Oryzias latipes: one gene and its partner. Each later gene encodes a partner of the first gene's protein in a complex. Links are inferred from orthologs where the notes say so. Each region holds a gene or a part of one and is shown on either strand. Other genes may lie near its edges.

Region 1 (3,500 bases):
AGATGTAAGAATTTTATGAAAAATCGAGTAATCTTGAATTTCAGCTATAATCTGGAAGTCATTCATGCAGGAACGGATTTCAGGTTTTTAAGACGCGATCACGTCTGCAAAGAGGCGAACGCGTCTAGGTTTTATCAGCTGGAAAAGCCGCGGCCTCGTGGTTCAGATGATCGCATATCAGAAACAAACAGGTTTTCTTTTTCACTGCAGGAAACTGGTGCATGACTTCTGCGGTCTGGTGAACCACGCCCGCAGATAAAACACGTCCATTTGAGTGAACGCCACATTAGCTGGAAACCCAAACCTCTTTAGGTTAAAAAAAAAAAATCCTCTTCTTCATGTTTTGTGCAAATGCATTTCAATAAGATTACTACTCAGGATTGTGACATTGCCTGCAGATTGATGATCTGAAAACGCTGCTACTGATGGTACATCAAAAATGAGAGAGGAGGAGGAGCTACGGTTAAGAAATGACATTTTAATCCAGTTTTAGGATGAGTTCATTTTTCTTTTACTCTGCCCGTGATTTGCCGAACTCTCAGATTAAACGGGGAATGCGTCAAGATGATTTGCGTACAATGTTCCCCAAACAAACATGCATTTGTAGGTTTGGAATTTCTGTGTACGTTGGTACCAAAGACTGAGCTTAACTGTGCTTTAAAAGAACATCTACGTCTTTAAAAGCGGTCAGACGTACAGGGAGGATTTTCCAGTGCGAGGGTCGATGTAGGTGGTGCTTCTCCTGTTGTGGTCCACAAAGTAAGGAATGCCATCAACAGTGAACCTCATCTCCCATCCTTCAGGAAGAGGCTTTTCATTCAACAACCTGAGAAGTGACATCAGAACATCAACTTTCGTCCTTTTCAGGAGGCGGCGGGGGAATCTGTGAGCACATGCCTACCCCTGTGTTCGAGGGTCTTCCCACTGAGTAGAACGGGTAGGATGATGCAAAAAATAGACTCTGCCATTGGCGTCTGTTCTCTTCTCTGAAAGGAAAGCCAGTCAGTGACTTAACTATGGTTGACAGGTTGATGGGTTTGCAGGATGAGGTTTAAAGTCATTAGCGGTTTAAAAAAAAAAAACCCACATTGCGTTTTTGCTTGCTAAGAGTCAAATCAATAGTATTTCGATTTTCATTTTTTCAAAACTGCAGGAAATCCACTGTAGATGCAATTTCATTAGCTGGCAGGATATTTAAACTACATCAAACTGCATTCATTTGACTTTAATGTAAAGGAAAAATCCCAAAAAAACATTTAAATACAGAGTATATGGTTTATTAAGGTTCAATTAGGATGCTGCTATAAAACAAACCGAAACTAGTTTACACTAAACAAATTCAAGAGGAACCAAACTTGTAGCAAAGAGTAACATAAAAACTGCTCCATATAATTGTCCTGGTTTTGAAACTCGAAAAAGTCTCACCCCATCCAGCTGGTAGAGGTCCAAGAGGATCAAACTCCTTATTTTGAGCGGCTGCTGCCGGATCTTGTACCTGCACAGAGAATTATTATCAATAATCAAGTTCCATAACAAACATCACGGATTAGAACCCAAAGAGAACCAGAACAATTTGGTCTTGATCGACTTTGAGTCAAAAATAAATTGCAACACTAAATGATTAAAGCTTTTAGCCACACGTATGGGGGATTGACCCGTATGGCTGCTGCAGGTTTTTGGATTGTCCGGTCCATGGAGGGTCCTAGAGAGGAGCAGTCTTAAGGGAAGCGGTTCCCTTAAGGCTCGTACGGCCACCTCAAGGAACGTCATGAAAATGGAACGTACCATTGTGAATTGTGAAGCACTTGTTAGGCTAATGGACATTGCACGCACTTATGACATACAGGTGATTCTGTCGTACGGTAGTGATGAATGGATGGCACCCCTTGTAATTCACGAAAGTGCCAACCGTTTGAAAACTGATCATGAAGGAGATCGTAATTACGGTTTGTGCCCGGCTGGAAATAAATAAAACAGGGTCTTTCATACACTATGTAACCAAAAGCATTGGCTCACCTACCTGCCTTGACTCAAATATGAACTGAAACCATCCCATTCTTAACCCATAGAGTTCAATATGATGTGGATCCACCTTTTGCAGCCATCAATTGAATTCAACTTATTTTTTTTATGTAGCCCAATATTACAATAATAGTTGACTCTGACTGACAGAGGTGTTCTGTCGGGTTCAGGTCAGGACTCTGTGCAGGCCAGTCCAGTTCATCCACAGTAGACTCTGTCATCCATGTCTTCATGGACCTTGCTTTGTGCACTGGAGCACAGTCATGTTGGAAGAGGAAGGGGCCGCTTCAAACTGTTCCCTTAAGCTTGGGAGCATGGAGCTGTCCAAAATGTTTTGGTATCCTGAAGCATTCAGAGGTCCTTTCACTGGAACTAACGGGACAAGCACAAGTCCTGAACAACAACCCCCACACCATGATTCCTCCTCCACCAAATTATGTGGCTCGGTTGCAGCCGCTCGGCCGTGGAAACCCATTCCATGAAGCTCTCTGCATACTGTACTTGGACTAATCTGAAGGTCACATGAATTTTGAAGCTCTGTACAAATTGGCTGTGCAGAAGGTCAGCGACCTCTTTGCACTACGCGCTTCAGCATCCGCTGACCCCTCTCCATCAGTTTACGAGGTCGACCACTTGGTGGCTGAGTTGCTGTTGTTCCCAAACTCTTCCATGTTGTTCTGTTAGAGCTGACAGTTGACTGGAATATTTAGGAGCCAAGAAACATCAGTATCAGATTTGTTGCACAGGTGGCGTCCTATGACAGTTCCACGCTGGAATTCACTGAGCTCCTGAGAGCGGCCCATTCTTTCAAAAACGTTTGTAAAAACAGCCTGCATGCCTGATTAATTTCATACACCTGTGGCCAGGTCAAGTCTCAGGACCTGATTGTGATCATCTGGATGGGTGAGCCAATGCTGTTGGTAATAGTGTGTATACTGGAAAGAGTGTAAGAAAAAGCCTAAAGAGTAAGATTTGCCAGATTTTCCCCGCTTTAACATTTCGCACCAAGGCTCTTCCAGGTTTCCCTCGAAAAAGAGAATTGATCTCAATGAGACTTCCTGGTAAAATAAAGGGTAAATTCCAAATGTAGATTGCAGTAAACAGTAGAAAAAGAAGTAGCCCCTCCCTGCTTGTCCAGTGTGAACACCATGAGAACGTGTTCAAGAACCGGGGTTTATCGCGTGTCAAATGTCCAGACAGAATTTAGTTTTTGGCATTGGACAAAGACTTTTTTTTCCACTTGTCGAGTTCATATAAGAAAAAAGGTTTATGCACCATCCCATTGTCTACACAAAATATGTTATTCTCCTTTTAAGACAAAATATCCTGCATACTGTTTATAAAAAATAACGTGTACGCACACCACAGTCAGTGGCTTTCCTTTGACCCGCTGACACACGGCGTCTTACCCCGTAGATGAACCTTTGGTTGAACTGCTGCATGGCGCCCTGCAGCTGGCTGCGCTGGTGCTGCCACTG
Region 2 (4,106 bases), on another chromosome or scaffold:
TTTCTTACAACTCAGTCTTAAAACACTTTTCAAACTTTTAAAGTGAAGAAAGAGGGCAGATTTGACTGAAATGTTGTCTGAGACAACTGCAGAACAGATACAGCAGTTCTGTAAGGTGCTTCAGCATCACACCTGCTGAAAAGAATTAAAGTCAGAATATAATCAAATTTGGGATTTCTCTTTTTTTCTTTTTAAATTAAAAAAACATTTTTTTACATTTGTAACACACAGCCAAAAACGTTTGTTTGCAGTAACAGAGCATAACTTTAAAAAGTGCGATTCAAAAAAAAAAAGAAAAAGGAGTCATACACAACATGCTGAGATAATGCTCTGTGGAAATAAGGAGGCTCCTTTATCATCCTAAACGTTTGTTCCCAACAAACTGATGAGCCTGCTGAGAGCCACAGCTCCTCTTTGGAAGAAACTGGATATAACTGGAATGAACAAACCAGCCAGGAGTCACAGCCTGACTCACACACGGCTCCTTCTCAAAGAGTAAAAAAAAAAAAGTGTTCGACAGGAAGCAGCAACACCAACGGACTCCGGTTACTCCATGGAGCCTTTAGACGGGAGGAACAGCAGACGGAGACCTTCAGGACCAACCGAACACCAGGGGGAAACTCTGGATGAAGCACAGGCATATGCAGAAACATCATCATCGCAGGTTCTCTCCAGTTTGGACCTCCAGCTTCTTGTTGAAGTGCATTCAATGATTGGTCTTGGAGAACTGGACCCGCAGCTGCAGCATTCAGCAGACTGGCAGCATGCAAACGTTGTTTCCGTTGTACTCTTCTTCGGTCTGCAAAACACGAAGCAAAACCAGAACTTTCAGAACCGTCCCAGCAGCTGCCAGAAATGCGCAGAACCCTGTTGATCGCCTTACCTCGGCAAACACAGGCGGTGATGGGAACTGGAAGCTGGGCGACCTCATGAAAATGGGGCTGCCATCTATGTCGTCGCAGTCACACAGCAGCGGCGTGAGGGGCTGGTCGAGCCGAACGTCCCGCGTCATGTCAGAGTAGCTGGGGGGATTGGAGGGCATCTGCAGGGACACCCAGCTCTGGGAGGCGTTGCTTACGGAGCCCTCCTGGCTGCTCACACTGTTGCTGCGGCTGCCGAGACCGGCTGTCCCGATGACCAGAGGCAGCTCCAGGATCACTTTCTCACTGCCGGGAATGTGGACGTAAATCTGGAAGAAGAAAACAACAGACCATCAACACGTGTTTATCTCAGGAGGAGCCACAGGTGCTCCGCAGGCATGCACACTTCACCATCGGTGGCTCACCATTAGTGCATACTCCACACGGATGATGTTACAGCTCAGCATGGATGGCTTGATCTTTGGTACCCTGATGGTCTTCCCCTGCCAGGCGTCACACATGCCAGAGATGATGTGGTTTCCACGCACTGATGACAGCTTCTGCCTGAAGACCTTGGTGCGGCCGTTGGCCTGATATGTGTGTTTGGCAATGATGGCAGCTTTGGGAACCACGATGCGTGAGCAGGTGTTCTCGAACTTGGCGTTGATGCAGATGTCCTCGCCTTCACAGAAACCACGCCTGTCGATTTTGGCGTTTAGTGACACTTGGCCGTCGGGAATGAACATGCAGGTTACTTTCTTTTCCTTGGAGCCACCTGTGGGAGACTGAAGAGCAAAAAGAGGTAAAAAGAAGGTTAGCACGGCGGCGAATCCCAACATCTACACCCATGGATGTTCTGATTACTCACAAGTAAATCTGGGGTGTTGACATCCAGAGGTTCCTCCACCTCGAAGCATTTCTTGCACTCAAGCGTGGGCTGCAGCGGCCTCTCCAATTTAGCCTTCACATAGTACTGAACATAGCCAAACTTCCCCTTGTAAGAGGATACCAGCTGCCTATGAGCAAACACAAACAGGATTAGAACCACAAATCATTTCATGACTGAATGAGGAACTAAAAAAAAGGGGGCTTACCCTTGGTCGGGGAGGTCGAATCCAAAAGTGTACTCATATTTATTCCCAGGCCTCAGCACGACAGAGCCATCTGCATCTGGGGAGGGGGGAGAAAAACCATGAGTAAGGGGGGGGGGGGGGGGGGCAACTCTGTGGGAAATGAAAATGAAGGTGGGACATGATGTAAACAGAGCCAACTGGGACAAAGTTCAAGCACGGATGTTTCTGATTCCTGCCTCACTGATGAACCCCTGTAAATTCTCACTGCGTCATATTTCACCCATGAATCCAAATTTATTAAACTCACTTTAAAATAGACTAGAGTTAAAAAAAAAAGAAGCAGCTCACTTTAACCACAAAAACAGCTTTAGATTTATAAAGTGGAAGAAAAAATAATTTAACTACTTAATATTTTTAACGTGTAATTGTGTTATTTAGCTAGGACAAAAATAATTCCAGCACTTCCAACAGTTCCAGTGCGCACGAGGCTTACCTTTGGGCTGGTCGTGCAGGCTCAGGACCTCCTCGTGCCTCAGGTACTCGGCCTCCTGTCGGCATCGCTGCTTCCCCTTAGCGTACTCCACCTTGGCACAGCCCAGAGCCACGACTTTCACCGCAGACACCCGCGTCAACTCGTTCACCTCCACCTCCACGCGGCCGCACACCTTCTCCCCGCCGCAGTAAAAAGTCTTGCTCGGGTCCGATAAGACTATCTGAAAAGTTTTCAGTCTCTTCGTCATGGCTACCATGGCTGCTGAGGCTGTGAACAATGCTTGCTCGTGCGACTGAAGCTTTCGTCGTCTGAGGCTGTAAACAACAGAGGCGGCTGTATTTTTCTTTCTTTCCGTGAGCCCCGCGTGATGAACCGCCTCCGCGGTGTGGCTCAGCGCATGCACAGCGCTCCTATTGGCGGAAACTCTAGGTTTGTCTCGGCTTTAGCCAATCAGAGCGCAGAGTCAGCGCGTGGACAGCGCATGCATACGAGAGTGCAGCGCGTGCTCAGGAGATGAGAGACGAAAACTCAGCGTTTATAGTAAACACCAGAAACCTGGGAAGTACAGGCGTTTCCCTCTTAGGTCAGTTATTCAGCTGCGTTACAAATGAATATTATCAGTGCTATGATATAAAATCAGTTTACAGTTAATTTTGTGTCCTGATATGCTGAAACTGGATGATAACAGATAAAGAAAAACCTGAAAACACTATATCAAGCAGTTAATGGTCAAGTTTACACGACGTTTATTGTCTTATGAACAGACAGATCCATAAAACAATTGTGAGGATCAACTCATTAATATTTTCCCAAAGCATTAAATACTTTAAAATGTCTGTTTGCTGCTGAAGGGCCACAGTGTAGGCTACACTTTTTAAAAGTGATATAGATTTTTTTGTTGTGGGTTTTTATACTGTCTGCTTGTATTTTTTTTCGCTTGTATTTTTTTCCCTATTGTTCAAAAAGACAATTCCAACAATACAAAAAGACATCAAAATGTAAAATAAAAGTATTTGAGGTTAATTTAGGGTGACATTTTTTCAACTTATATAATGTTAACATTTTATCCTTTTAACGTCACGCATGTTAGGTCAAATATTGCTTACAAAATAAACGCCAGAGTTTCACTGTAAACAATTCATGAAGTTAACATTACAGTGATTCTTGATACTTCTAGAGTCCTCAGTAATTGGTAGGGATGCCACATTCATTCATTCATTCATTCATTCATTCATTCATTCATTCATTCATTCATTCATTCCTCTTCTAAAATCCACTTCAGGGTCACGGAGCTGCCAGACCCTTTTCCGGCCATCTTTGCTTCCCTACAGCATGCCATTATCTTTTAGAAGGATGTGTTATTTATGGTATTTATGGTTTTTGGTATAAGCCAACTGAAAGATTTTTCTTCATTCTTTCTTGCTAATTAGCTAATTTAAAAGAGGGATTTTCAGATATTTTTTAGCTTTATTGTTGTTTTGTAATACTCAAAATAAATATGAAATGGAAACAAAAACGTGACCCAAAAATTGAACCAAGTCATGGAGAAAGTGAATCTTTGCATTCCTGGTAAATACTTATATAGTGCTTTTCTACCTTCCCTTAAGGCCCATAGTGCTTTATTCACATTCACCCATGCACACACAATGGCGCCAACCTGTAACCACCAGGAGCAGTGTG

The links. Proteins that work in one complex are often made in the same cells at the same time.
Region 2: the proteins of E3 ubiquitin-protein ligase Itchy (region 1) and txnip are in contact, whole or in part, in a crystal structure (PDB 5CQ2), measured with the Homo sapiens proteins. The link is inferred for Oryzias latipes from reciprocal best matches to the Homo sapiens genes ITCH and TXNIP. Residues at the interface, in NP_001244066.1 of Homo sapiens: Glu485, Arg487, Thr489, Tyr495, Val497, Asp498, His499, Arg502, Thr503, Thr504, Thr505, Tyr506, Leu516; in NP_006463.3 of Homo sapiens: Pro328, Glu329, Ala330, Pro331, Pro332, Cys333, Tyr334, Val337, Ile338.

The regions. Positions count from the first base shown.
Region 1 is NC_019865.2:2,020,175-2,023,674, forward strand, and holds part of E3 ubiquitin-protein ligase Itchy, read right to left. Parts: coding exon 3,432-3,500; intron 1,496-3,431; coding exon 1,426-1,495; intron 987-1,425; coding exon 902-986; intron 827-901; coding exon 698-826; intron 1-697. UniProt on the Homo sapiens protein: Acts as an Acts as an E3 ubiquitin-protein ligase which accepts ubiquitin from an E2 ubiquitin-conjugating enzyme in the form of a thioester and then directly transfers the ubiquitin to targeted substrates.
Region 2 is NC_019869.2:21,668,936-21,673,041, reverse strand, and holds the start of txnip (thioredoxin-interacting protein), read right to left. Parts: upstream 2,801-4,106; 5' UTR 2,683-2,800; coding exon 2,427-2,682; intron 2,031-2,426; coding exon 1,955-2,030; intron 1,877-1,954; coding exon 1,729-1,876; intron 1,646-1,728; coding exon 1,286-1,645; intron 1,190-1,285; coding exon 884-1,189; intron 800-883; coding exon 749-799; 3' UTR 1-748. UniProt on the Homo sapiens protein: May act as an oxidative stress mediator by inhibiting thioredoxin activity or by limiting its bioavailability.